Linked DNA regions of Sus scrofa. The protein of the gene in region 1 interacts with the protein of each later gene in a biochemical or structural test. Links are inferred from orthologs where the notes say so. Each region holds a gene or a part of one and is shown in the gene's direction. Other genes may lie near its edges. The genes, in order: CDC42, PAK1, MCF2, EIF2AK2, NCF2, WASL and CDC42EP3.

What was found.
Region 2: the proteins of CDC42 (region 1) and PAK1 form a complex in vitro, tested with the Homo sapiens proteins (11 studies listed by BioGRID and IntAct, with this or other methods). The link is inferred for Sus scrofa from reciprocal best matches to the Homo sapiens genes CDC42 and PAK1.
Region 3: the proteins of CDC42 (region 1) and MCF2 form a complex in vitro, tested with the Homo sapiens proteins (2 studies listed by BioGRID). The link is inferred for Sus scrofa from reciprocal best matches to the Homo sapiens genes CDC42 and MCF2.
Region 4: the proteins of CDC42 (region 1) and EIF2AK2 form a complex in vitro, tested with the Homo sapiens proteins (2 studies listed by BioGRID and IntAct). The link is inferred for Sus scrofa from reciprocal best matches to the Homo sapiens genes CDC42 and EIF2AK2.
Region 5: the proteins of CDC42 (region 1) and NCF2 form a complex in vitro, tested with the Homo sapiens proteins (2 studies listed by BioGRID and IntAct). The link is inferred for Sus scrofa from reciprocal best matches to the Homo sapiens genes CDC42 and NCF2.
Region 6: the proteins of CDC42 (region 1) and WASL form a complex in vitro, tested with the Homo sapiens proteins (3 studies listed by BioGRID). The link is inferred for Sus scrofa from reciprocal best matches to the Homo sapiens genes CDC42 and WASL.
Region 7: the proteins of CDC42 (region 1) and CDC42EP3 form a complex in vitro, tested with the Homo sapiens proteins (2 studies listed by BioGRID). The link is inferred for Sus scrofa from reciprocal best matches to the Homo sapiens genes CDC42 and CDC42EP3.

What each region holds. Positions count from the first base shown.
Region 1 is NC_010448.4:80,033,628-80,037,834, forward strand, and holds the start of CDC42 (cell division control protein 42 homolog), read left to right. Parts: upstream 1-1,407; 5' UTR 1,408-1,523; intron 1,524-4,207. UniProt on the Homo sapiens protein: Plasma membrane-associated small GTPase which cycles between an active GTP-bound and an inactive GDP-bound state. In active state binds to a variety of effector proteins to regulate cellular responses. Involved in epithelial cell polarization processes.
Region 2 is NC_010451.4:11,970,275-11,974,375, reverse strand, and holds the start of PAK1 (serine/threonine-protein kinase PAK 1), read left to right. Parts: upstream 1-1,301; 5' UTR 1,302-1,899; intron 1,900-4,101. UniProt on the Homo sapiens protein: Protein kinase involved in intracellular signaling pathways downstream of integrins and receptor-type kinases that plays an important role in cytoskeleton dynamics, in cell adhesion, migration, proliferation, apoptosis, mitosis, and in vesicle-mediated transport processes.
Region 3 is NC_010461.5:114,353,305-114,357,557, reverse strand, and holds the start of MCF2 (proto-oncogene DBL), read left to right. Parts: upstream 1-1,453; 5' UTR 1,454-1,603; coding exon 1,604-1,688; intron 1,689-4,253. UniProt on the Homo sapiens protein: Guanine nucleotide exchange factor (GEF) that modulates the Rho family of GTPases. Promotes the conversion of some member of the Rho family GTPase from the GDP-bound to the GTP-bound form. Isoform 1 exhibits no activity toward RHOA, RAC1 or CDC42.
Region 4 is NC_010445.4:103,039,720-103,043,828, forward strand, and holds the start of EIF2AK2 (interferon-induced, double-stranded RNA-activated protein kinase), read left to right. Parts: upstream 1-1,309; 5' UTR 1,310-1,635; intron 1,636-4,109.
Region 5 is NC_010451.4:124,810,559-124,814,501, reverse strand, and holds the start of NCF2 (neutrophil cytosol factor 2), read left to right. Parts: upstream 1-1,143; 5' UTR 1,144-1,666; coding exon 1,667-1,832; intron 1,833-3,943. UniProt on the Homo sapiens protein: Subunit of the phagocyte NADPH oxidase complex that mediates the transfer of electrons from cytosolic NADPH to O2 to produce the superoxide anion (O2(-)).
Region 6 is NC_010460.4:23,774,393-23,777,892, forward strand, and holds part of WASL (neural Wiskott-Aldrich syndrome protein), read left to right. Parts: intron 1-1,676; coding exon 1,677-2,197; intron 2,198-3,500. UniProt on the Homo sapiens protein: Regulates actin polymerization by stimulating the actin-nucleating activity of the Arp2/3 complex. Involved in various processes, such as mitosis and cytokinesis, via its role in the regulation of actin polymerization.
Region 7 is NC_010445.4:102,536,446-102,540,461, forward strand, and holds the start of CDC42EP3 (cdc42 effector protein 3), read left to right. Parts: upstream 1-1,216; 5' UTR 1,217-2,413; exon of another isoform or gene 2,414-3,078; intron 3,079-3,109; exon of another isoform or gene 3,110-3,620; intron 3,621-4,016.

The sequences.
Region 1 (4,207 bases):
GCAAATTTGTTAGCATCATACCTATAGTATGTTAGCATCATACCTATAGTAATCACTCTAAAACGTAGTTCTTGTGTAATTAAAAAAGTCCAGGAGTTCCCGTTGTGGCTCAGTGGTTAACGAATCTGACTAGGAACCACGAGGTTGTGGGTTCGATCCCTGGCCTTGCTCAGTGGGTTAAGGATCCGGCGTTGCCGTGAGCTGTGGTATAGGTCGCAGATGCCGCTCGGATCCTGCGTTGCTGTGGCTCTGGTGTAGGCTGGCGGTTACAGCTCCAATTAGATCCCTAGCCTGGGAACCTCCACATGCGGTGGGAGCGGCCCAAAAAATGGCAAAAAAAAAAAAAAAAAGACCAAAAAATAAAATAAAATAAAATGAAACATTCGAAACAATAAAAAAAAAGTCCGAAGGGAAATATGACTATTAAAAATATTGTAAATAGATGTCTTTCTTGGCCAAATAACTGTGGCAGTCATCAATAAATGAATTATTGTAGTTCCCCTCGTAGCTCAGAGGAAACTAATCTGAGTAGTATCCATCCATGAGGATGCAGGTTCTATCCCTGGCCTTGCTCAGTGGGCTAAGGATCTGGCGTTGCCTTAAGCTGTGGTGTAAGTTGCAGACAAGGCTTGGATCCCGGGTTGCTATGGCTGTGGTGTAGGCCAGCAGCTACAGCTTCAATTTGACCCCTAGCCTAGGAACCTCCATAGGCCAGGGGTGCAGCCCTAAAAAGAAAAAAATAAAGAACTATTATTTAAGATAAGCTATTTTCCTCTAACACTAGGCACCATCTGAGAAAAGACCGAGAAGGCTCCTATTCTGAAGTGTGCACACTGGCAAGGAAGACGGATGACAAACAGGTGCTGTGAGGATAGGATGATCAGGAAGGCAGTGACATTTGAAGGCAGAGGGCCAACGGAAGGACTGGTGAAGAGGAGGCAGCCAGGGGAAATTGTGAATCTGAGGCCTTGTTGTGGGGAGGAAGTCTCTAAACCAATTGATGACGGATGTCGCTGGAACGAGAGACAGTAGGGTGGAAGCAGTGAAGCGAGCACTCAGCTCTCAAGCCATACGGGCCGGGGGAGTCAGAGGGCCATCCACTTGCATTGTGGTCACAAGTCATGCCCCTTTTCGAGTAGCCGCTGTCTTCTTTGCAAAATCAGGATGATGATACTTTGCAAAAGTGCAAAGATCAAAAGAAATGTTAGTTGTGGTGCTTTGCAAACGACCATTTATAGCATTATTACAAATATATGACAGCCACTGGAGAAACAGTTACAAGCGCAACACACGAAAGAGCAAGCAGGACCGCCTGGCGCGTGCGCGCTAGGCTGCCTGAACCTGGGGAGCGGATGAATTCAAGCCCCGCCCGGAACAGCTCGGCCTCTTTTCGCCTCGGATCCCTCCCACTTCCGCGGGCTCCCAACGCTGCGTCGTCTGCGTGCTGACGTCAGGCGCGTGCCCCTGTCCGCAGCTGAGGAGACCCCGCGCATTGCTGCCAACGCCCCGGCTGAGGAGCTGAGGTGAGTGCGGGGTCCTAGGCTCCCCGCGGGAGCGGGTTCCCCACCGTCCCGTTTCCGCTGCGCCGCGCCCGGCCTTTCCCAGTCCACGGGGACGCCCCGCGTCTGGGTTCCTGGGAAGCTTGGGAGCGCGGGGCGTGGAGTGTGTGTGTGTGTGGGGGGGGGGGGGGTGCCCGGCTCGCGCAGCGCCGTTCGGGCGAACGCGGGTCCGGGTTCTGTCCGAGGACGGAGGCGAGGAAGTCGCGGCGGGCAAGGCGGGGGGCGCACGTCGGCCGAGAGGTGTGCGGCCCTGCTGTGGGGTGCCGGGCCGAGGGCGCGGCCGTGCTGTCACCCGGCAGCGGCGGAAGGAAGGGGTCACACCCATCCCGGCCGCCCGGCTCCCCTCCCCCCGGCCCTGCGGACCCCTGAGGCGGACGGCGGGCCCGGGCGCCGGGAGCTGCGGAGACGCTCGCGGGCGCCCGGGCTGCCCGGGGTGGCGGTGGCCCGGGCTCCCAGGCCGGGTCTGCCCCCGCGCCCCGGCCTCGACTTCCTGCTTCGCCCGGCGCGGCCGCAGACATTTTGCGGCGGGCGGGGGGGAGGGGAGCGGATTGCGAGCGCGGCCGGGAAGTGGCGGCCGGGAGCGGGCGGCTAGCTGACCGCCCCGGGTTTGCCTGCGACGCGCCTCCCTCCGCGGTCCCGCAGCTGGACGCCTGGTCCCACTGGGTGGGCCTGGTCGCCGCTTCTCCGGTCTCCTTTATTCCTGCCTTAGGTCGAGTTCCTGATGCCGTTTCCGTTTGCTTCTCCAACTCTCTCCCTGCGTTTTCAGCTGAAGCTTCCCTTTCAGGGAGTTACCTAACCACCTCCCGAAACTGTCGTTCAGCCTTTTGCCCAGTTCCTCTCATTAGGGGGAAAATTTCTTTGTTCGTTTGTGTTTTTCCTCCCCTTTAATCCCAGAGAAATGCAGTGTGGAAGATTACGTCATCGCAATATAAGGGGTGAGAGTTTTTAACTCCTACAAGTCAGGGACTCACTAAATTAAGACAGCATTTTGTAGCCTTGGTTGGGTCACCCATTGGCCTAGCCAACCTGTTTCCCAACGCATCAGAGATGATCTTTTGAAATCCTGGCCGTCTCATATGCATCTGAAAGCCAGGAGGGTTTAAAATCTCCGGATCAACTTGTGCCAGAGAATAAAACGTAAGACAACACCTTCTGCAGCCGCTTGCGTAGGCAGTAACTTTAAAGATCCCTTTGACTGTACCCGAATGAGATGAATTTATTTGTGGAAGCATTTCTTTGGTCTAAGATGCAATTCACAGACTGTTTAACTTCTCCCATATGAATTACCGATTCGGAATATGTACCTAAGTCAACTCATGTGCACTTTTTGTGGTAAGGGTGTGTGAAAAGAGAATCAGTTCTATTTACGCTTAATCTTTGCTTGGTAGTCAGTTTAATTTTGTAATTAAAAATGTTTTGGATTTTTAACCAAATAAACTTAAGTGAGTAATATTTTCAGACTTGGGATCACAGAATGTTAGGTACATCCTAAATTGTATATCCTTCATTGACTGCAGGGTAGTGTAATACAGAAAAATGTTAGCATTGTAAAGCAAATGAGATCCAGTTGTGTAATGCATTGTTGTAAAGATAGTTCATGTTGGAACAAGCGCTTTCCTATTGTTTCTCGTTTGTATAGAGAGAACAGATTGCTTGTTAAGAAACACTTAAAAGTGGTAGGTTTACATCAGCTTTCTGTAGTGTGTAGGTGTTGGTAGATGATTGGATAGGTGTGGAGCTTGGATCTTCTAAAATATATTTATTTGCCATAATGTATCTTTTTAAGAAGATAAAAATGGAACACTTACCTGCTGCCATATTTCTTGAGTCTTAATTTTTTTAGATTGAGGCAAGGTGATAAGAGACTGGTAATTAACTGTGTATTAAAAATGAGCTCTTCCTCAGTAATTTCTTCCAAGACCCAAAAGATAGCACGTTCTTAAAATGTTTTCACATAATAACAACATCTGTACTCAGTTAAATTTAAATTTTTGGGAATCTGAGGCAGGTGTTACAGCCTAGCTTAAATATCAGCGAGATTCTTAAAGCCCACCAAGCCCACATCTTGACTTTTTTGTGACTTCAAGTTTTTTTTTTTTTTTTTTTTTTTTTAAATTCGGGTACTTTTTCCACTTACGGTTTATTAGAGAAGCATTTCTGGTTGTTTTTAAAATAGTTATACTAATAAAATATTTTGATCTAAGAGGTTGCATTTGGAAAACTTTGAATTACAGTTTGCTGTGCCTGTCTGAAAGTAGTATTTACAGACATTCTTGGAAGTAGAAGTCAAACTATACTTTTATTTTTAAATACATTTTAAGTGCATTTATTGTTTTTGAGAGGACAAGGAATGCTTAATGAACATTTCAGGCTACAGGGCTTTGAAGGGAAAGAAGGTGTTAATATTTTGTTAACTTTTGTTCCATAGGTAGATCTATATATTCTATATTAAAAAAATTCATTCTAAGAGAAAGACAAATACCATATGATATCACTTATATGTGGAATCTAAAATATGGCACAGATGAACCTAGACCAGAAACAGACTCATAGACATGGAGAACAGACTTGTGGTTGCCAAGGGGGAGGGAGTGGGATGGACTGGGAGTTGGGGTTTAGTAGATGCAAACTATTACATTTAGAATGAA
Region 2 (4,101 bases), on another chromosome or scaffold:
GCTGGAACAAAAGATACCACGTAAGATGAGGCTAGAAAGGCTGGTGTAAGCACCAAGGTTGTGCAGTGCCACATTAAGAATGTGGATTTTATTGTGAAGCACAAAACCCTTTGAGAGTATTTAAAGAGGGAAGGCTTTCGTCAGATTTGTCGTTTTAAAAGGTTACTCTGGTCACTGGTAAGTACGGTTGAATCTGGAAGACTGAAAGCCGCTCTAGTTGTCTAGGTGATGGCAGTGAGTGAAGAGAAGGGCGAGATCTTGGGAAATATTTAGGAGACTCTACAGGACTCGGTGACAAATTTGATGAGCGTTGAGAAAGAAGAATGGGGGTTTCTGGCTTAGTGTACTGCTGAATGGTGGTCCATTCACCAAGACCAGAAAGTAACATGAGTCACAAGTTTTGGGGAATATTGTAGTAGGAACAGTCTACATTCCAAAGGGCTTAATGGTGCTAAATTGCACTTACTATTATTATAAAACGGTGACTCAGATCAAGTTACCCATACACAGGTACAACTTAAGGAGAAACTGTGGCTTAGAAATGTTAAGATCCTATCACCAACATCTGTACAGCTGGAATCTGAAGCAAGGCAACTTAATTCCAAACCCTTAGTCACTAACGTTGTTTCAGTTTTGGACATGGGGAATTTGAGGTACAGTGCAAACATTTCATTAGGAAACGCAGAATCTGAACTCAGGGAAAAGGTTTGCGTAGAATGCGACCTCCGTTGGTGTAGGAAGGCGCGAAAAGCTGCCCATTCTTTTCTACCAGAGCACAATAGTTGAAACCTCCATTAACATTTCTTTGCCCCTCCTCCAAGAAAGCCAACAGTGTATTAAATGTCCAGTTCTGAGGTCACAGGATATGGGGTAGCTTCCAAACTCAGCGCTTGGCAACAAGCTAGCAGATGCAGTGGTGCTTTATAACCAAGAGGACCACAATCCTATGGGATTGGCTGTCTTTTTCGACCCCGATTCCACCACTGTCGCCCCTTAACACCTCCCACAAACATCCTGGGGAAAGCCCGCCTTAAAGGAGCCTGCAGCTGTAGCGAGCGATAGCACTCGAGGAGAGACGGGGGCGCAATGACGTCATGCGGCAGCGGGTGATTCCCCAGCCTCTGGCGTCACGCGCCAATGACGTCATTCCAGGCGCTGGCCCTCCCCCAGGCCTGGGTTGGCTTCGCTCACGTGGGTCGGTCCAGTCCTCCCCGCCCCCTCCCACCTGCAGGAGGCTGGGCGGGCCTGGCTGGGCCGGAGCCTCGGCCTCGCGGGGGAGGGGGCGGGGGGCCGGTGGGCGAGGCGGTCCGCCCGGCCCGGCGGCGTACAATAGCTCGGCGGAGGCCGAGGCGGGGGCCCGGGCCGGGGCTTCAGCTGGAGACCCAGGTGTCGGTAGCACCGCAGACGCCCCCTCACGGTTTCCCCCCACAGCCCCCTCCCCCTCCGCCCGTCCGTCGCGCCTCCCCGCCGCCTCCCTCAGCAGCTCCGCCGTCCTACTCGACAGACGCTTTCTCTCAGACTCTTACCCCCTCTTTTGCGGAGCCCCTCAAAGAACCCTCTGTCTCCCCACCTCCTCCCCCGGAGGCCAGTCGAGCCCCTCGCCTCTCCAGCGGCCGGAGCCGCACCTCCTCAGCGGCGTCGCCGGGCTCCCTCCCTCCCCCACCTCACCCCCGGGTCGCTGACCACCCCCGCCCCCGCCCGGTCCGGAGCGGACTCCCCGGCACCAGCGAGGCGGGGAGGCGCCGAGTGCGCGGCGGCGGCGGCTGAGGCGGCGGGAGGGGGAAAGTGAAGCGGCCCCTCGCACACACTCGCGCGCTCGCTCCCCCGCTCGGCCGCCGCCGCCGCCGCCGGCGTGGAAAAGGAGGAGGAACCGAGTGGAGCCGAAGCTAAGCGCGGAAGGTGAGAGCCGGCCTCCCGCGCGGTACCCTTGGCGTCGCGCGGTGCGGGGGCGGGGGCGTCGCGGGGCGTGGGGCCCATTCATTCCGGCTGCAGGGCTGGGCGGGCGGGGGGCGCCAGGTGAGGCGAGGCGGGGGCGTCGCCCCTCGAGGCTGGCCGCCGCTGTCGGACCAACAAAGGCTCCCCGTGCGCTCACCCGGGCGGCCGCAGGTCTCAGACGCCGGGGGGGGGGAGCTGAGGGACCCGGCGGCGGGCCGAGGCGGGGAGGGGTCGGGACCGCTGGTCTGGGTCCGGGACTCCCTCCCGAACTTTGCGGCCCCCCGACGGGGAGCCTAGCAAGGCAGCGTCAGATTCATTGTGCACGAAAGAAATCACCCCGGTCCAGGCCAGGGGGGCGGGGGATCACGTCTAGGGTTCAACTCCTTGAAAAATACTGGATGGTGTTTGACTCACGCGGCCCCTCCCCCACCCCGGGAAGACGCTCACTTGTGGCGTTAAAAACAAACTGGGAAAGGAGAATTGTGGCTGTTTCATGTTGATTATTCCATTTCAATAGGCGCTATTATATCCTTTACTGTCTGGAGTAGTTTCACAGCAGACATTGCTGGGGTGTTTTGGAAGAACACTGGAGACGTTCTGGGTGTTTGGAAGTGTGGAGAGCCAAGTGCTTGTTGTTTGTTAAGCCCTTTGGATAACTGTCTTACACTTTCTCCTCCCACCCCCCCGCCCCCGGAACAGTGAAAGGTGAAGGCAAGAGTTGGTACCCTGGTACCAATAAACATTTCAAATTCACTAGTTTAGCCTTTAAGAGTTGTTTCTGAGAAAATGTGTAATTTTGCCTCCGGTGTCTTTGGGCTCTCTCTCGACTTGGTCAGGAGAAAAAGGAGTCAACAGTAGACACATGCCTCATTGGTCTTAACTTGTGACTTCACCTACTTCCTGTGTGACCTTGAGCAGGTCACTTCCAGTCTTACCGTTCCAGGAACTTGTTTTTGTGCCCTCGAAGCAGGCGGGTATCCACCACCTACTTAGCTTTCAGGAGTCTGCGGAAGAATTACCCCCATTAGAAGTCTTTGCTGGCACCACCCCCATACTCCTCTCAGGCAAAACTTTCTCTTTGGGCCCCTCAGAGGCCTGCTTGGATTTCTACCACAGCACTTTTTTTGTTCACATTTGGTAAATCCTGAATCAGGTGCGAATGAAATCAGTCTCTCCTCAACTAGAAACTATACTTCTCAAAAAGGGTTTTGGAATCATGGACCCCGAAACATTCCCTGAAGCTTATCCATGTCCTTAACTTTTGTGAGCTCTTGGGTCTGTCTGGGAAATTTGCCTATTTAGTCATTGATTTACCCAACATTGCTGGGATCTGAAGAGCTACTGTTTCAAGTTTCCTGCTAGGGCTGTGGGGATTTTGAATCTATTAAGATATTCCCTGTCTTCACAGAGCTCAAAGTCTAGTGGGTGAGGTAGCCATGTAAACAGTGAAGGCCTTCCGTCCTCTCTGGGGGCTCCAGTTGTACAGGGAGCAGTGTGCAATAATTGAGGCTGCTGGACCTGTTTTACAGGTCTTGTCCTGGCCAAAGTGAGACCTGCGGGGAAGGTGGTGACCTGCCTCTCATCCATAAGATAACACTTGACAAAGAGCTTGTTCAGTTTAATTCAGTATACACTTACTCAGCACATGTTATGAGGTTCTGTGTTAGGTTTGGAGGAAGGAGTGCTTTCTACAAGGAGGGCACTGTATATCCAGAGAGATCTTTGTAAAACAAAAACCAATCATTTCTCCCCACCCTCAACTGGTCATTTGCTAAAGAAAAATTTTAAACTCTGATATGAGTAGGAACCTCTTGGAGGTTAGAGTACTGCCTACCTTTGCAGAGGCTCATTTTCTATAACCCTCTGCCCCCCTCTTCTCATCTCTGCTTTTGCATGTGTTGTTCTTTTTGCCTGGAATGCCACCTTCTACCTGCCTGTGGAGAAGCACTTGTTGGACCTCTGGGAAGCAGTCCCTTAGTTTCTCCTTCTATTATCTCCGTAGTAGAGTTGCTCTTCTCTATTCCATGGCTCATGTACAGACCACTCTTATAGGTCCCTATAGCACTCTATTGCAAATGTCTAAGTTTGTGCCTGTCTTTTCCATTAATCTGTGAATTTCTTGAGGGCAGGATCAGTTTAGTTTCAATGTCTACTGAAGTTCCTGGT
Region 3 (4,253 bases), on another chromosome or scaffold:
AGTCGTCTACTACTTTTATAGACTGCTACTTTTTCAACGTACAGTTATTTATTAAGTTGGAAAAGAACATCGGTGGAATTCTTAATGTCATATGCGGGAACAGTTGCAAGCTGTTTCTCCTCTTCACATATTCAAGAGGGGGGCTGGAAAACATTCTGTCTGTGGACCCATTCAGACAGAGCTTGAACTGGCTAGAGGAGGAGGAGGGGGGGTGTGTGTGAGTGTGTATGTATGTGTTTTCTTCCTCTGCTTACTTTTGCCTTTTACACTTGCCTGCACCGGCTCTCGGGAGGTATAGATGAGTGATTCTCCATAGAGCGGTCGAAAGATCAACGTGGAACGACTGGCCTATGTAACATCTGAACACTGTCTTACTAGAAAACTTTGAAAAGGCTGAGGATTAAAGAAAGAAGTGGCACTCGCAGCTCTGCTAAAGGCTGCAAGCATTGCAGCAAAATCCTGGCGAATCTCTCCCGATAGCACTGACTTGGTTTCAGACGTGCAGGGTTTGTTTTTGTTTTTGCCACGCCCTGGGGCCTGTGGAAGTTTCCAGGCCAGCCATCAAAGCTGCACCACTGCAGTGGCCCAAGACGCTGCAGTGAGAACGTGGGATCCGTAACCTGCGGCGCCACAAGGGAACTCCCAGACTTGCACTTTTTATGCGGACGTCCCCAGGCCTGTCCTCAGGTGGCCGCTTCCTGGGCAGCACTCCTGCCGGGCCTGCTCACTCCTTTCCTTCCAGACACTTCGGAGCCCCATCTTTCATCGGGCCCCATCCCTGGGGGCTCTGGGGCAAGGCAAGAGCTCTGGCTCCTCTCCTTTCCCACTTGGCTTCTCGAAGGGGTCGCCTCCCCTTGCCTTTCCATTTTCCCGCGCTCTCTGCGTTCCTGAGCCCTTTCTAGAACGGCAGTCCCGCAGGGCCACTGGCTAGCGTCCTGGCTCCCGCGCGCGGCCAATCTCGGCCTCGGCCAGCGCTCGCTGGATGCCAGGGAAGCGCCGAGCCCAGCACGAGTTGCCATGGGAGTGCGAGGCCGGGCCGTCCCCTCCCACCACGTGTGCGCTCCGGGGCCGGCCTTCCCTCCGCTGACAATGGGCGTCTCTGCAGGGGTTCTCCCTTTAGGCTGCCCGAGTCCCTCCTCCACCTCCCCGCCTCCGGGCCTCCGGGAAGCTAAGCGGGGGCGTGTGTGCACACCCTGGGGGAGTTGCCCTCGCGGCTGCCGGGGCCAGAAACGCCCCGCCGGAGCCCCGGACTCCGAGCAAGTTCCCGGGCTCCGGGCGCCCCGCGCCCTCCGGCCTCCGGGCGCGGCCGGGCTGAGCGGGCGGGCGGGCGGCAGAACCCCCCGGCGGCGCCGGGCCGGACGCGGGGAGGAGTTCGGCGGCGGCGGCGGCGGCGGCGGGCCGGGGGGGCGGGCCCGGCCCGGCCTCCCGCTAGACGATGGCGGCGGCGGGCTCCCGGCCCCACCTGGGCTCGGCCGCCCGGCACGCGCCCGGGGCCCCGCAGCCGCGGACCCCTGAGGCGGACGGCAGGACGCCGGGCCTTCCCCAGGACCCGGACGGCTGCGCGTTGGTGCCGACCACCCAGGCCATCCCTCTGCAGGTGGACATGGCCATGGCCCTGCAGCGCGTGCGGATTTCCGAAAAGTACGGCAAGAGCTACCTCTGCCTGCTGCAGGCGGTCTTCGTCGCAGGTAAGTTCCCTCCTGGCGCTCGCCGCCCGCTGGCCTCTGCCTCCCGCCAGGCTCGCGCGCCCCTCGCCTCCCGCGCTCCATCCCCAGGCGCCCGGCCGCCCAGCACGCTTCGCCTGCCCTCGGGCCGCGAGCGCGACGGCCAGCCCGCCCGCCAGTTGTCCCTCCGGCCGCGGGCCGCGCTGCGGGGGGACTGTGGGAAAGTCCGGGAGGGGGTGTGAGGACGTCTCCGCCGTGGCTGCTTCGGGTCCCCGCTGTCCTCCTCACCCGCCTCGGTGCGTCGCCAGAGGTGGCACTAGACGGTGTCTTCCAAGCCCGCATCCCGCCCACCAGAAGCCGGCCTCCCGAGGGTGCACGTCCCTCGTAATCTTCCCCGCAGGCTGGAAAAGCGGGGGTGGGGTGGGGTTGAGACGTTTGGGGAAACCGAGTCCCCAAAGGCGCTGGGGTTCGGAGACTCTCCGCACTGCAGTCGGAGAAGTTGTAGAGAAACCGCGCCTCCGCCGGCTTGGACTTTTCACCAGGACGGGTGTGTCTTGCCAGCTGGGCCCAGGAGTTTCCTGCCTCCTGGGGTCCTAACCCCAAAGGCAGAAGTTTGGGGTTGTCTCTCGGGACAAACAAAAAGAGCCGACAAACCCACACGTCCTTTACTGCTACTGCCGTGGTTTGGTTGAGGGGTGTGCGCGGGGTACTGTGGACTCGGTCACTTGCCCGCGGTGATGCGCACACGTTTGCCTCGCGGGAGGTGCAGAGCTTTGGGGTTGGTGCAGCAGGCTCTGGGCTCCGAGGAGACAGCTCCCTAGGGGACCATGCAGACCGGGGCTCAGGAGCCACCCGAGAACAGGGTGCAGCTCTGGGGTTTTCAGACGCGTTTTCGAGGTACCGGCATTGCCGTGCCTGTGCTTAGAACGCAGCGTGTCACCGCTGCGGCCTGTCTGGATGTTCGGGTCTTGCCCGTTTGGGGTTGAAGGTGGGCGCGATTGGTTTCCAGGTGTAATCCGTCGTGAAGGGGCGTGGGCTGGCGCAGCGCACGCTCCTTCAGGTGTTGAGCATTTGAAAGGCCCTGGGATGCTGCGGCCGCCTCGCTCGTCGGAACGTGTGCAGCTCAGGGGGGTGTGGCAAGGGCTCTGCGTCTTGTGTTTGCTCCTGCATCTTCCTGAGAGTTCAAAACAAAAACAAAACAAACGTAAAGCTCCAGACAAGAAATGTCTGCTTTAGCACGGAACTTGTTAGGTAGGCTACGCACTCTGCGTTCACATTTCTACCGCCAGTGATTTCTTGTCTTTCTCTAAGTTGTGCGGGTGTGTCAGCTTCCATACCTTTGAAGGCTCCTGCATGTTGGCAGGCCCCTGTCGCCTCAGCATTATGACCCAGCACAGCAGCCAAATGACACCGGGTGCAGCGTTCCATTTTTAAGCAAGCTTGCAGGACTGTTCTGCCTTTTAGCATTTTTAGCTGCACGGTCTGGAGGACCGCCGGAGTGGCCTGAAAGTGGTCTGTGCTTAGGATGTTAGGGCACGCACCCTAGTGGGATAGTTTTATGTGTAAAAAGGATTTCATGTATCTAAAAAAGGTTCATCTGTTTAAGAAATATGTGTACAAGGCTTTTCACTGTGGTGCAGAACTTTCTGAGATCGTTTCGGTAATGACCGTTTAGACACTGCTCCCTATAGGACATGCTACATTGTAATAAGCTAACTGCACCTGCTTGTGCAGCATCTGCCGTGGGCAGCGAGGATGAGCAACTCTACTTAGGGCCCTAGCTAAGGGCAGACTTCAGGGAGAAGGTGATGTGTGACTTGAATCTTCAAGGATGCGCATGCATTTCCAGGTGGACTGGGGCTAGGGATGGAGGGTGGTGGGGAGGGGTAATCAGGCAAAGGAAATAAGATGCGCAAAAACAAGGAGAAAGGGGATGGCATCACATGTTTGGGAAACTTTTTCTTTCTTTCTTTAATGATTAGAATGTAAAGTGTGGAAAATACAGGAGAGAGATCACTTTGGGGAGGTAGACAGAGGCTGGGTCAGGCCCTTTGTAAGGCATATTAGAGGGCTTTACTTTGTAGGGCCAGGAGGAGCCACCAGAGTGTTGTAACCAAGGCCGCTATGTACCGTTGTCTAGGTTGTGCACTGCAAAACTGTGAACTGTGAACGACGCCCTTGCTAGGGTTGTATCAGGCACATTGTGCACCGTGGTTGACAGCAGCATTGCACAGTGGAGCGTCTTGCTTTGGGAAATGCCATCTGGTGGCTGTGTGAAGGACACAGTGTGTGGAGTGTGCCGCAGAGAGGAAGAAGACCGGGAATAAGGGGGCCAGTTAGAGAGCAGTTGTAGCAAGCTGGGCAGGCGTGGGCCAAGACACGAACTAAGTCAGTTCTGGGAATGGGGAGAAGGGGAGAAGCTTGAGGAAATGAGAGGGTAGAATTGATTTGACTTGATTTCGAGGTTTGAAGGACAGCGCAGGAGACTAGGTTAATTCCGGGTTTCTGGATGGGATGGCGGGATGGGAAGAGAGGTTGGGATATAGCAGGGAAGGGAGGAGGAAGAGGAAATTTGGGGTTTAGTTTTGG
Region 4 (4,109 bases), on another chromosome or scaffold:
TCACTTTGTTGTACAGGAGAAATTATCACAACATTACAACTCAACTACAGTTCAATAAAGCTTTAAAAGAACAACAACAAAAATTTATATAGTATTTCTGCTACCCTGTAGTATTAGACTCTGCACCTGATTTTTGCTCTATCAGCCCTGAGGCTTACAAGAAGTAAGAAGATTTTCCCCTCAACCATAAAAATTTGTGGCCTCTGACCATGCTTGAGCTTGTCATTTTCTTTCCTTAAGCTCTTGGACAGTTCAGAGGCTTCAAAAAGTCAGAAAACTTGTCATTGCTACTGCCATTGTGGCTGTCACAGTCACCCCACACCCACGAAGCTGGTAAGTGGACTCCTTCAAAGAGCCACTAAAGCTAGAGCTTTTTGCGACCTCAAAGGGCACAGAAAGATGGCTCTGCCTCCTACCTGCCTTCCAAACTCCCATCAGTGTGCCACATTGGGGGAACTTAAATCAAGGAAAATGCAGTGTTTAGCCATTGATATCCTGTCATACAGGGGGTAGAAAAGAGAAGTGGGAAAGGACTCCTGGAGTCAATGGCCAATAGGTAATGTGTACCTGAAGTCCACCTTGGGACCACCTCTCTTACTCACCCTAGCTAGGATGCTGAGGTACAGACTCTTGGTTCTAATTCTGGCTCCTCAGCTTACTAGTTGTTACTTCTCTGTGCCTCAGGCCTGTTTTCTCATCTGTTAAATGGGCATAATAATGGACCTACCTTGCAGAACTGTTGTGAGGTAAGTCCTCAGCACTCCTCAGTCATTTGGTCGAGGCACCAGTATTACTTTGGGAAGGTGTCATAGTCCATTAGGTGAGTAGGTTTTTTTTTTTTTTTTTTTTTTTTTACAAATCTGGGATTTCTGGTAAGAACTTTGGTCGAAACCTCCAGGAGGTTGCGCGGGGAGCAAGTGGCTCTAACTGATGGACTGGCTGGTACAAAGGCTGGCAAGTATCGTTGAATGAATGGATGGATGGCTGGAAACAGACTGAAGGGAGATTATGCCAGCAGACCTCTTCATTCCCAGCCTGGTGAATGTGAGGAAGAGGCAGGGTGCTTTGGTGGTTAAGAGTAATAGAATCCTGCTTTGTTCTGGGACAGTTAATTTGCTCAGTTTCTAATGTAAAATGGAGCTGATGACATCCTTCCCCGCAACGCCGTCCCAAATGTTGCGTTGAAGAGCCCAGTTCAGGGAGCGCCCGCCACGCAGTGGGCCTCGGAGACCTCAAGGTCCTCCCCACATCCCGGCGGACTGATCCCGCCACGGGGGCCGGAAGCAGCATGAGAAGACCAGGTCAGGCCGCAGGGACCCGGACGCGCTCTACCGCGCAGCAGCGGCCGGCGGGTGCCCAGCAGGCTCCGCACTGCCGCCCGCGGGAACTCCGGGTGCAGGCGCCAGTGGCGCGCGATCCCGGAGCCTGCGCGGACAAGTGCTGACTGGTGCGGGAGGGGCCCGTGCGGCGGGGGAAGAAGGCGGAGTCCGCGGGGAAAACGAAACTGAGAGTGAGCGGCCCAGATCCCACCAGGCTTCACAGACTGCAGCAGCGCGGGTGAGTGGCGAGGGGCCGACAACCAGGAGCCACAAGGGCGCTCGCCATCCTGCATCCCCAGCCTGGGACTGGACCCTGGTAAGACCCCTGACCCCTGAGCCGCTGCATTGGGAGCGCTGTCCGAGGCCTTAGGTGGGGCGTTTGCTGAATTTGGGGAGGGACTATGCAGCGCGGTGGGAACCAAAGCCATTCATCTCCCGCGAAGATCTTTTTAGCAGAGCAAGTAATCACTTGCCCAGACGCAGGCTGGGGGCAGGGACAACCAGTGGAAAACGAAAAAGCCCCATCCTTGAGAGACAACAGATGGGAGATACGGAGGCCTGAATTGCCCAAAAAATTGGCTAAATAATCCCTGACCAAAAGTCTTTTGCCTGGACTGTCGCAACTGTTTCCCAAAAGCCCATCTTTAGCCCCCCCCCCCCAGCTCCAACTCCATTCCCACCCCCACCCCCGCACCGCCTCTCAACACCACGGGAACCTGACTTCACGTCCGAACAAGACAACCCCTTTCTGCTCCCCAGTAGCTTCCCATCTCATCAGAATCCCACACAGTGTTTTTTAGTGCTCCTTCCATTCTTGACCACGCAGGCCTTTTTGATGTTCCTGGAGCACAGCTCAGCACTATCTGCTGCCTCTAGGCCTTTGCACTGCCTGTGTCTTCTTGGAAGGTTCTTCTTCCAGATACCTGTGTGGACCAGTCCTTCGTGTTATTCTCACTTCCTCCAATATCACTTTATCAGAGCAGCCTTCCAGGAACAACCTGCATGTGAAAGAAGCCCCACTCTTCCCTTGCTGTCCCCCTTATTCTGCCTTGGTTTTCAATATAGTACTTATCATCCTGTGACACTTTTTATTGGGTTTGTCCATATGCCTCCACTAGTAAGTTCACAAGAGTAGGGTTTTGTTCACTAGTATAACCTAGTACATAATAGATATTCCTTATGTCTTTATTTAATGAGTGGTAGTTAATACATTCTCTTTTGAGTTCCAGAGTATGAGACCCGCCAATCAGAAGTTAAGAGACTCCCTGCTGTCCCTTAGGAACTTAGAATCTTGAGCAGTTTATGCCCTTGTTCTTCTCTTTCCGTATTTGAACCTGAAGATCCGTAACACTGGATGTGTAGTTTATTCATTTAATTCATCAGGTACTAGTTGAATGTTGTTTGTCAAGCAGTGTTCAGACCCTGGAGGGGGCTTGACCCGTAAGTGTTCACAGTCTGCCGTAAGGGAATCAAGGCACAGGCAAAGTAACTTTTGGGCAAGAGTAAGATGGACACATAACATTTTTAGTGATTATGATGGAATTTTCTTTTAGGAAAATGGTAACATATATTCAAATGAGATGTAGTTGAAAGGAAACCTGCTGTTTCTTTTTTTCCAAACTCATAAGTACTTATTTCAAACAGGCCAATTGAGCACCTTATTGGTTTACACCTATGTTTTGCTTAAATTCAAACTGGCTTGTCATTTTGAACATCAGCAGTTATGTAGAGGTAAAAGTTCTGTGGATTTAGGGCATTCCATGGAACTTTGGTTTAAATAATTGCTAAGGACTCTTCCATAACTGGTGTTCTGAGATCTATGGCCTCCTGCAATTGGATGCATGGTCTCATGGTTGTGACTAAACTAAATGACACTTTGGTTCCTAAAAATAATGACACAGCTGCAGATCCTTATCTGAAACCCTTAGGTCAGGTATGTCCTGGTACTCAGGGACTTATGGATTTTTTAAAAACTAGTAAGTAATTTAATGCTCTTAGAGTGGAGCAGCAGTCTATCATAAAACATTTCTGCAGTGAAATGTATAAATGTTGTCTGCAGACAACAAAGTGTGGTAAAGACTCTAAATAACTCATGTTAGTTCAGGTCTAGATGGGGGGCTACACACTGACCGAAACCAAATCAAATGAAAATAAAGTAAACCTCAGTTTTCAGTGCTTTTTGGAATTGGGGATTGTAGGCCAGGAGCACCACTCACTGAGGGGCATTGCTGTGGGAGACCCTGCTGGATGCTTTTTGTCTGATTGACTCTTCACAACAACCTGTGAATCAGGTGTTTTCATTCCTCTTTTCTGGTCACAAATTAAAGGTTAAGAAAGGTGCCTATCTCAGATCTATGTGGCTTGACAGCCTAGCTCTCTCTATAACACTAAGTGGTGTTGCAAAGATGGTGCCTTTGCTCAGATCTAAGCCCTTCCAGCCACCAGCATTGCTCCCCTAAACCACTGCAGCAGCCTCGACTTAGTCTCCTGACCTCTACTCATGCTCTGCTTGTTTTTTCCACAACTGCCCCCATGCTCTGTTCTCTGCATAGCATCAGATTGATCATTAAAGACATAAATCCAATCACATCACCCCTGTGCTGAGAACCCTCAGCTTCCCATTACAAGTGGAATAACATCCACAGTTCATTCATGGTCTGTGTGCTGTGGCACCTGCCTCCCTCTCTGACTCACTTCCCACTTGCTCCCCTTGTTCACTGTGCAGCAGTCTCCTTGGCCTTTTTGCTATCTCTCCAGAAGCCATCATGGTGCCCGCCTTAGGGTTTCCTC
Region 5 (3,943 bases), on another chromosome or scaffold:
TTTGTTTAAATTTTAAGTGATTTTGTTTAATAATCTATCTTCTAGAATTCTTTCCAGGGTAAAGCTTTTAGGAAACTAGACTCACACTTACAAACTAGACTCACACTCCAACCTGGCTTTTTAGCGTAGATCCCAGTCTTCGTGGTGAGATCATATTTGCAAAACCTTTCAATTCCTGGGATTTAATGAATCGGGATTTGATAACTGGCATTTCTTTCAAGTAGCTCTCAGCTTCCTCGCCCTCCTCAGTCTGGAGCCTCTGAGTGACTCAGGAACAAAGTAGGAGCGGAGGGGTTCTGCTTTCTCCTCGACATCTGTTGACGTGACGCCATCGCACCCAGCGGTAACCCTCCCCGCTCTTCCCCTGACACTAAGGAGCTCTTTGTGCTGTCCTTAGTAATTTTTGCAGCCTCAGCTCACTCTGGGCTTCAGCTTTCCCTGTACTCTGCGTTTGATCTCTGTCCAGCCTTTGGATTCCTCCTGAGTCAGGCCCCACCTCCTCCATCCTGTGTGTCTGGCCTCCTGAGAGAATCCCCTGGGGGGTCCCATTGCCTCTCCATTTCCTCCATCTCTGAGATCCCTGTGTGCCACGTGCTTGGGTTTTTCTGAGATTCTTCCTTCTCTCTTTAGCAATCTCTGGTTTTAGAGCCTTGGGCCAGGGGCAAACATCTAGTTTTCCTTTTTTGATTAGCCAAGACACTTAAACATTTTTTTTTTACTTTTGTTTTTGTTTTATGTGTGTATGTAGGTAGGTATGTGTGTGTATATGTATGTATGTCCATACCCAGAACATGTGGAATTTTCCAGGCCAGGGATGGAGCCGACGCCACTGCAATGACAATGCCAGGTCCTTAACCCACTGTGCCACAGGGGAACTCCTACAGTGATTTTAAAAGCGTGTAACCACAACATTGTTAGTGAGGCCTGTTTTGAGAGTTTACCATGTGATTGGCACAGAAGGGAAGTGGAAAAATCAGATATAGGTCCTGTACTTCTGGAGCTTACAGTCTCGTTGAGAAACACTTAACCAAGTCATTAGAATCACATGCAGTTGAGAGTCAGCGAGAGGCTGCTCTGAGAGCACGGGGGAGGAATACGTGATCTAGCTGTTGCGTCAGGGAAGAAGAGTGGAACTCTGTAGCTGTGATGGGCAGAAGCCTGAGATGAGCCTTAATCATCTCTGCCCTGTGTACGTTCTTCCCCTCGTGTAGGCAGGAGCTATGACTTGCTTCTCACCCACAGAAGGTGGCAAAGGTGAAGGGACTTTGCAGCAGTAATCAAGATCCCTAAACAGCTGGCTTTGATCGAAAGAGACATTAACCCGGGTGGGCCTGATCTAATCAGTTAGGCTTTAAAAGGAGTCTAGAGGCGTTCCTGCTGTAGCACAATGGGATCGGCAGCACCTTGGGAGAGCTGGCACGCAGGTTTTATCCCTGGCCCAGCACAGCGGGTTGAGGATCCAGCGTTGCCACAGCTGTGGCTTAGGTCGTCATTGTGGCTCAGTTCTGACCTCTGCCTGGAAACTCCCCATGCCACGGGGCGGCCAAAAAAGGAAAAATAATTTTTAAAAAGAGGTCTAGAGATCCGAGACTCAGTGAAGTAGAGACGCTTTCTCCGTCACGGGTCTTAGAGAAGCAAACAACATAAATTCTACAACTGCAAGGACATGAATGCTGCCAACCCACGAGGGAGCTTAGAAGCTGATTCTTCCCCAGTCAAGCCTCTGGATAAGATGCAGTTCAGCCAACACCTTGATCTCAGCCTTGTGAGACCCGGAGCAGAGGACCCAGCTGGGCCATGCCGGGACTTCTGCCCCCAAGAAAACTATGAGAGTAAGTGTGTATTACTGTAAGCCAGGAAGTTAGTGGCAATTTGTGACGCAGCAATAGAAAGCTAATACAATGGTAGCACAGACAGCACTAGCTTACGATGTTTCCTGGAGAAGGAGGACTCAGCCCGGCGGCTTTCCGCTCGCATTGCTGAGTGAGGACACCCAGGTCCAGTTTCCTGCATCCTCCTTGTGAAATCCAGGCTGAGTTTAAATGTAATAACTGGGGTCTCCCTGCCCACCTCCTGAGGGTTTCCTGTCTGGTACTCAATGTAAGTATCCACTGACATGAGAGTTGAGTGCATAGAAAGTATATACTTCCTCCTACTATTAGACGTGTACCTCACTTTAAGCTAATAAGGTGACACTGCCCCATTAAAATGCTATTTATTTTTTTCAAGTAGGGTTCCATTTCCTAATTTTTGGTTCATTTAACCAGTTAGCGAGAGTCTACGGAGCACTTGCCATGTGCTTAGAAAAACACTAACTGTGATGAAAGACAGGCAAATTGAGATTTGTTTCCAGCTTTTAAGGAGCTTTAGAGAGAAGCCTCAGGTGATAGAAAAAGCGGGATGAAACACTAAGCTCTAAAAATGGGGATGAGGAGACACCTGCTGAGCACCAAGGAATAATGAGAATCACAGCGCTGGACAGCACAGCTCCTCCCTCAGAGAAAAAGGAAAGCATGAGAAAGGCTCTTAGGAGTTCCCGTCGTGACTCAGCAGACGTGAGCCTGATTAGGACCTGATTAGACGCAGGTTCCATTTGTGTTAAGGATTGGGCATTGCCGTGAGCTGTGGTGTAAGTCACGGATGTGGCTCAGCTCTGGTGTGGCTGTGGCTGTGGTGTAGGCCGGCAGCTACAGCTCTGATGCAACCTCTAGCCTGGAAACCTTCATATGCCAAGGCTGCAGCTCTAAAAAGACTTAAAAAAAAAAAAGGAATGCTCTTAGCTTCCAGCTGAATGAACGAATGCACACAACAGGAACTTGTGATCTGTTACCAAAGCAACGTAAATCTTGCTTGTACAGGATTTTGAAATAATTTTGAAGACACCGAGCTGAAACTTTTATCCAGCCAATGTCTTAAAATTTATTCAATAAGTAATGTTTTCTGAATAGCTATTATATCAAATGCTGTGCCAGGAATCAAGAATACAGTGGTGTATCTGAGAATTTTTTGTTTGTTTATTTTAGGGCTAAACCCATGGCATATGGAGGTGTCCAGGCTAGGGGTCGAATCAGAGCTGTAGCTGCTGACCTACACCACAGCTCACAGCAACGCCAGATCCTTAACCCACTGAGCAAGGCCAGGGATTGAACCTGCATCCTCATGGATGCTAGTCAGATTTGTTTCTGCTGAGCTACTATGGGAACTCCCAATCTGTGAGAATGTTTTAAATGATAAATGACAGAAAACATTATTCAAGTGGCTTAAAGAATAAACAGGTTTCTTATCTCACCCCAAAGTAAATCCTGAGTAGGTCAGCTCCAAGATAGCTGATTGAGGAGCTTACTAACCTAATTACGGACCCAGGTTCTTCGTGGTTTTTCATTCTCTCTCCTTAAAACAATGGTTTGTTCTTAGCGGTCTCTCATGGTCACAAGATAGCTGCCACTATTCCAGGCACATCTTCGTAGTACAGTCTAGGGGAGAAACAAGGGAAGTTTCTTCCCTTGTTTTTGTTTTTTTTTTATTTTTTATTTTTTTTTATTTTTTATTTTTTTTTTTGTCTTTTTGGGCCGCTCCCGCGGCATATGGAGGTTCCCAGGCTAGGGGTCGAATTGGAGCTGTAGCCACCAGCCTACACCAGAGCCACAGCAACGTGGGATCCGAGCCGCGTCTGCAACCTACACCACAGCTCACGGCAACGCCGGATCATTAACCCACTGAGCAAGGGCAGGGACCGAACCCGCAACCTCATGGTTCCTAGTCGGATTCGTTAACCACTGCGCCACGACGGGAACTCCTGTTTTTTTTTTTTAATCATCAGTAAGAAAAAAAATCTTTCCCAGAAATCCTCAGCAGACTTCTCCTGACATCTTATTATTAACTAGAATTCTCTCTCATGTCTGTGTCAAACCAGTCCAACCGCCACACCCTGAGGGAGTGTCAG
Region 6 (3,500 bases), on another chromosome or scaffold:
ATCACTGAGCCACGATGGGAACTCCTTAAATTGATTAAAAATGAAGTTCTTGTATCTGCTGAAAGAATTTGATGTACTGTCTTATTCAGAGAGTACACATATTATACATATGTCATATCCTCTTGGTTTTACCCTATTATTACAAAATGTGTTTGAAAAGGACTTTGCTTTTAGCAACTTTAAGTTTTCTTGCTTTGGATTTGGTGAGAAAATTGAGTGAACCTTAGCTCCAACACCCAGACCTCCAATATGCCTTGAGTGTAAATATTAGGAGCTTCCTTCAGTAATGGTCTGATCCAGGTAGGATGACACTCCTGTTTGCAGCTATGTATTATTTCCAGTTTTAAAAGTTTGTATGCCAGGAGACAATACCCTTATGAGTATTGGCCCTTCTGCATATTATGTCTAAATGTTTATAACTATATTTGATAGCATATTTTTATGGCATATTTCCCATGATTGTCCCAGATGAAATCAAAAGATACTGTTTGATTTACTTTGAACTGAGGGCTGTTTTTTTCCTCTTTGGTATCATTGCATCATTGAGCATCTAAGCCTATTGTTACTTGAAATCAAGGTGGGTATTTGTATTTGTATAGACTGTAGAAAATTCATCAATAATATTACAGTTTCTCAGAAAATACAAATAGCTGTTATGGATTTTAGGATTTCTTTATTCCTAAAAATAGTTAATTTTTCTATTCACTCTTTAAATGAGTGGAGAAATAATGATGTTCATTATTATACAAGTTTGTGAATCCTCTTGGCAAAATCATGCCTCTAAAAACATAGAAAATTTGTACTTTGGATTTGTTCTCCTACTTTTATCTTACATTTTCACCTAAGTAGAATAAGAATGTATATATCAGAGTAATGTTAATATTTTATTAATAACTTTAATTTTGCAGTACTTAGAAATCTCAGTTGATTTGTTAATGTCTCCTAAGTAAGTAGTTAGCCTTAATGCCTTCAGCTGGGCCTTAATGCCATCACTAGAATTGCTGACCATCTTTTATTAATATCGTACAATGTTTATTATATATTATGTATTTATTACATATATATTATATGTTGTTATATATTCTATACATACAGAAAATATAGGACATAAATTATGCAAGTTAGGTTACAAAGGCTTATTTTTTAAAAGAAAAAGTATTTGGGTTTAACTCACATTAAGTGGAATAAATTCCAATAAACTATGCTGCATTAGCTGTTTAATTCTGAATAGAAATTAATTTTATAAAACAAATATACTTGATTCTTTAAAGAGAGAAGATTCCATTAATTTTTATTAAAATGTAAAATAACAGTTATTGATCAAAATGTTTAATTTCATTGTTATATTTTTGTTATTATTATATAAAAATTTCTTTGTTCCCTTACCTTGAGAAGTAATGCTGATTACTAAAAACTCACTTGTACTATTTTAGCTATTATTTTTTTTCAAGAAAGACCAGGAAGGTGTTCTTTAGGCTGAGTATTCCCAAATAGAGTTGTGAGATATCATCAGTGCTCACATATCTTTGTAAAATAAATACAAAGATGAAGCCTTTTTTCTCATACTGGTTTTTTGTTTTTTTTTTTTTTAAATACATGTTGAAGTGAGTTGCTTTTTCAGTATGATGTTTGTGGGGGAAAAAAGCATGGTTTCTTTTTTTCTGTTTTTATTTCAGCACCGCCACCTCCACCACCATCAAGGGGAGGGCCGCCTCCTCCTCCCCCCCCTCCACATAGCTCAGGCCCTCCTCCCCCTCCTGCCAGGGGAAGAGGGGCTCCTCCTCCGCCACCTTCAAGAGCTCCCACAGCTGCCCCGCCACCGCCGCCTCCGTCCAGGCCAGGCGTAGGAGTCCCTCCACCTCCGCCAAATAGGATGTACCCTCCTCCACCTCCAGCCCTTCCCTCTTCAGCACCGTCAGGGCCTCCACCACCACCTCCACCTCTGTCGGTGGCCGGGTCAGCGGCACCACCCCCACCTCCTCCACCTCCACCTCCACCGGGGCCACCACCTCCCCCCGGCCTCCCTTCTGATGGTGACCATCAAGTTCCAACTCCTGCTGGAAGCAAAGCAGCTCTTTTAGATCAAATTAGAGAGGGTGCTCAGCTTAAAAAAGTGGAACAGAACAGTCGACCGGTGTCCTGCTCTGGAAGGGATGCACTTTTAGACCAGATACGACAGGGTATTCAGCTGAAATCTGTAAGTAATCTGTTCTTTTCAGTTTAGATTACCTGTCATGATGGAATTTTAATGTAATTTTAAGACCTCTTTGAAAAGGGGTTGGGTTTTTTTGGTTGCTATTCTTTTGTTTTTTTACTTTTTCTCGTGGTATTTGTTTTTTTGACCCTGTGAATTTCTGATATTCATAAAATGCACAAATTTATACCTATACAGTATCACCCCAGAAAGTTCCCTCATGCCTGTCTCTTCCCAAAAGAATCACTGATTCTGATTTCTATCACCATAAGTTTAGTTTGCCTATTTTAGAACTTCATATTAAAAAATGTTGCTCTGTGTTTGCAGTTCATCGTTCTAGACTTTTAAATAAAACTTAAAGAAAAATCTTTATTAAACTGTACAGAAGTAAACTTAGCCCTGTTGAATCCAATTATAATCATTTTTGTAAATTCATTCCATTAACTTCTGAAAACTAAACCATATTTTAAAGTTTACATGTTCTGAAATTTAGATTCGTGGAGAATCAGACTCCACAAAAAACTGAAAGAGTTGTAATAAGGGTTTCTGTAGTGATGGCAGATAATTTTGGGTTCTCCGAATTGGATGAGGTGATCATTTAATCTTCTGGAGCAAAGGTTGGCAAACTTTTTTCTTTAAAGGACCACATAGTAAACATTTTAAGCTTGCAGGCTGTATGGTCTCTGTTAAAACTACTTAACTCAGCCTAGTACCACAAAAGTAGCAGCTATAGACATACGTACCGTGAGAGAAGCCATAGACAGCACATAAATGGGCATGATTGCGTTGTATAAAGCTTTATTTATGGACATTGAAATTTGAATTTCATATAATTTGCACATATCACAAATATTCGTCTTTTTATTTTCTTTCTACCATTTAAAAATGTAAAAATCATTCTTGGCTTTTAAAAAATTTTACAGAATCAGGGGTCAGGCTAGACTTGGTCCATGAGCAGTAATTTCCTGATCCCTGACCTAGAACCTAACCTGCCTAACAAAGACATGCTTCCTCTGGGTCTTTATGTGTAGTCTCTCTGTTCCAGGCAGAACATTTACTCTGCAGGGCTTCAGACAACTTATGGATGGTAAATTTTAACGTGTATTCAGGTTGATTCTTGGATCAGCCTGTGAACAGACACCTCTCCTCCCTCTTCCCATTTAGTTGAGACTAAAGATTTCTCAGGAGCAGTTAAAGAACTTTGAATAGTTGCTAGAGGGGAGAATTAGTGTCAAAATGACCACAGCCCAGGTAAATAGTAGATTTTAATGAGCTTTTACCAAAGAATCTATGCTGGGTCCTGTGT
Region 7 (4,016 bases), on another chromosome or scaffold:
CTAAAAAAATTAAAAAAAAAAAAAGGCTGAATGTGAAAAAGTTTGTGTAATTCTCTCTGTGTGTTTTTATAACAAGAATGTTCATAAGGCCCATGAGATTTTTAAATGAGTCTGTTATTTAAGACTGAAAACCACTCCTCTTGACCAATGCTTCTCACACATCAAATGTACACAAGAACAATCTATATTTCATTGGAATGAAGATTCCAACTCAGTAGCTCTGGAGAGAGGCTTGGCGCTGCTGGTTCCAGGACGATACTTAATGGCAAGAGGCTAGAATATTTTAGTCTGCACTTGTTTGCATACACTGGCTTGTTGCTCTCTACCTCCTAAATAGATTGCAGGTTTCTACTGACACTTCTTGGCTCTTCTCTCACAGTCAGGACTAATAGAAAAATAGCCCACCATCAGGCCTGATAGATGCTTGCTCTACACATATGAGTGCATTAATTGAACCTAATTAAGATATCTTCTCTAGGTACACTTTCTTCGTCTTAGGCCCCTAAGGTTTTTACTGACTTTTCAAGGTGATAAACTTTTCTGTAACCCAGAGTAGAATCTCAGAACCTCTAAAATCTTCCTAAAGCAAAACTTTTCTCTCTCTTCCACAGTGAAATCAAAATCTAGCAAAACTAAAAGCAATTATAGTACAGGAAACACCCTTGTTTGGAAGGATAATCCACTATATAGGGGCACTCTCCCTCCCTGGAGATGTTCCATACCAAGAAGATGTTCGGTGCAAATAAATAACATGAACATCAAACAGGCATGGATAAATCAAATCGGCACCACTAGGCCCCTGAAGGAGTAGGTTTTGGATAAACTGTTTACAGCCCAGAAGTGAAGTCTCATAAAGAAAGGACAGAGAGGGAAAGTCTCTAGAAGTTGAGGAATGGTATAGAAAAGTGAAAATGGAGTTTGAGAATAAAATTGCTACCTCAAACAACTTGCCCCTCTTATGTTTGCACAAGCTGTAAAATAAGTAACTCAGTTATATGGAAGTAAAGTCTCTAACAGCAGCTAACAACAGAGCAAATGAAAAAAAAATTTCACACAAAAGACATGCATAAAGAATGTCTGTGTGCAAAAGGAATTTTTCATGTGGTATTTAATAAATATATATGCATACTATTTGTACTTATAAAAACACCATGTGCAATTAAAGCTATGCATAAATATTTATAAAAATACTTTCATCTAAGTAAGCCAGTAACATTTAATATTTTTCAATAAATTCATACATAAAATACATACATTACTGCCAAATGGAACATATATTTTGAAATATGAACCCCTGGTAAAACACTCAGGAATCTGGAGTAAAATTCAGGTATCTGCCAAAGGAAACTTCGGAGTAGTTGTCATTTGAAGAAAGGAAACAATGCTGGGTCTCTTATCTTCACCGACTGTTTTGCTTGTCAGATTTCTAACATCACTTCAGCTGAGTTTTGTATTTGACTTCCAACTTCATGGCCATTTGACCTGCCAACTATTATTTTCTTTTAACACTCCACCCAAGTATGTTGCTTTCCAGAACGGTTGTGTCCGTTTCCTTTTCACTTCACCTTAACATCAGCCGAGGGTTACAACGAAGACTTAATGTGCACCCTCTAAGGTTTCAGATTAACCCAGGGGCATTATGGTGACGACCTGATGCTGATATCGCTCTGGAAAGTCAAGGTTCTCCTGGAGGATCGCTCTTTGTGCCAGGATTTCCATTCAACCTGAGAATCCCGGGGCTGGGGCCAGGCTGCGAGTGCTTCACTCTCGCAGGTTCCAGCCCCCACCCCCAGGCCGAACGTGCGGGCTGGGACCTTACCGCCGGAAAACGCCGCCCTTTCCTGTCGCCTACTCATTCCCCAGGCCGAGAACTCAAGGACGAAGAGACGGAGACGGATTAAGAAAATTAACCAGGTCGACGCTTGGCCTCGAGGGAAGCAAGGCGGGGCGCGCAGCGGCGGTGGCTGGAATGACCGGCGGGCGCAGGTGCTGCCCAGGGCGGAATTTTACGCTCCTGGGCCGGCAGCTGCGGTACTTGCGCTCGTCTAGAGCAACCGCCACCCGCTTCCAGCTTTAGCCAAGTCTCTTTGAGGCACCCCGCAGGAGAGGAAACGCCTCCCGGTGGACTGGAAAAACCTGCAACATCGGCTGTTCGCGTGCCCACTTGCTCAGCCGGCACCCCCGGGCGTCTCTTGTGCGCCAAATCCACTCTCCGGGTTTTGGCGACATCTCCAAGGGGTTTGGGCTGGAAACTGACAGAAGCCCCCCCCCCCGCAAACTGGAGCTGAGACTGGCCCGGGGACCCAAGGCTCGGCCGGCGCGGCGCCGTCAGGTGGCCTCTCTTCCCCAAGAGTCCGCCGCCCGCCAAGCCGGAGCCTTGCTGGGCTGGATCGACTCGTTGGGAGGAGGAGAGGTGGGTGTACGAGGTTTAGTACAGGTGTCCGGGGTGCAGGCAGAGTCCCTTTGTCCTCTGGCACCCAGCAGCCAGTGCCTCTTTGAACTGGGCGTCCCTGCGACCTTCCTTTGTGCCAAGGGAGCGGAACACATCTTCTCGGAGAAAAGCCCCACCCCTGGAGGTGGCGCTGGGGCGGTAACAATAAGCGCCCATTGTCCGCCAGGGGCTTTCAAGCCCGGCAGCTGGCGACCGGGGTCTACCCGCCCGGGGCCGGAGCTCAGGTACTAAGGCAGGGTGGTGCGGCCAGCGACCCACGGCCTGCGCCCCGCCCCGGCCCGCCCCCTGCGCCGCCGGCCCCGCCCCGGCCCGCCCCGCCCTTCGCAGGTTCAGCCCTGGCGTCCGGCTGCAGTGCTTTCAGTATAGCTCGCACCTTCCCTCTCTCTCCACGGTGGCTGCTAACGGCGGGTTGCGCAGCGGAGGGGCCCGAGCTGGGGGCAAGCCGGGAGTCCCCGGCCTTGGGCGCCTTCACGCAATCTCAGAGCGGATAATGCTGTGAACTGGCGCCGCGCCCGCCGACCCGGCTGGATCTGCGCGTGGCGGGCAGGGACTGCGTGCGCCCTCGGAAAGTGTCGGTGCCGGGCGCCTGGCCCCGGGGCCAGCGGCTGGGATCCTTGGCGCCGCTGGTGAGTTGCCGTCTGCCCACAGCTCCTTTTCTGCGCGTCTGTGAGTTCGTCCGACCCGCGGCCGTGGCCGCTTCCGGCGTGCGCGGGGTCTAGGCTTGGAAACGCACGGGGAACGGTTATACCGAGGGCATCACCTTCCAGCTGGTGTCCTGAGGACCAAAGGCTGTATAAAGCAAACTGAGAGGGGTGCGGGCGGCACGACCAAGACGCAGAGCGCCACCGTTTGTGCCCACCACTTTTCAGGGTGGGGCTGCGCGGCTACACTGCCCCCTCTGAGCCATTGACAGCCATTCTGGGCGCTTATTGCATTTTTCCATCTGAGAACAAGCCGCACATGGCTGCCGCTCCCCTCCCATCGTGGACTGGCACCAGGGCCACACAAGGGTGCACCGCGCAGAACTGGGATGGCAGTACCCGCTGGGCGTGTGTCTCTTCTCTTGATGGGGGGCATTGTGGCAGGGGCTCCAACCTGCAGATCTGGCAGTTGCTTTTTTTTTTTTTTTTTTTAACGGTGGTTTCTGAACAGCTGGATTGTTTTCAAGGTTTGCCTTTTGTTTTGTTTTTCCCTTTTTCCTTGAAACTGCCTTGATACAGACAAGTATTAGACGTGTGAGGACGAATGGATGAGGCCAGTAATTTTTTCATTGTGAATTATTATAGTCCATCCCCCTCTCGACTTCGGGAGGCATGTGTTTCATCTTATAAATAGAAAGTAGCATATTTTTTGGCAGGACCTCCTTTATACTGTACAGTCTAGGAGAGGTCAGTTTAAAAATAAATATGCACTTGAATGTTACGTTACCGAGAGCCAGGCTGTGGCTGGGACAAGCTGCGTGGACAGCAGCATCAAAGCCGGGAACGCAGCTGTGTTAAAAGGAGTAAAAGCCCCAGAGTGCAACCCAGGCTGACAGTCAAGTAATTACATTTTGTTAAAAAAA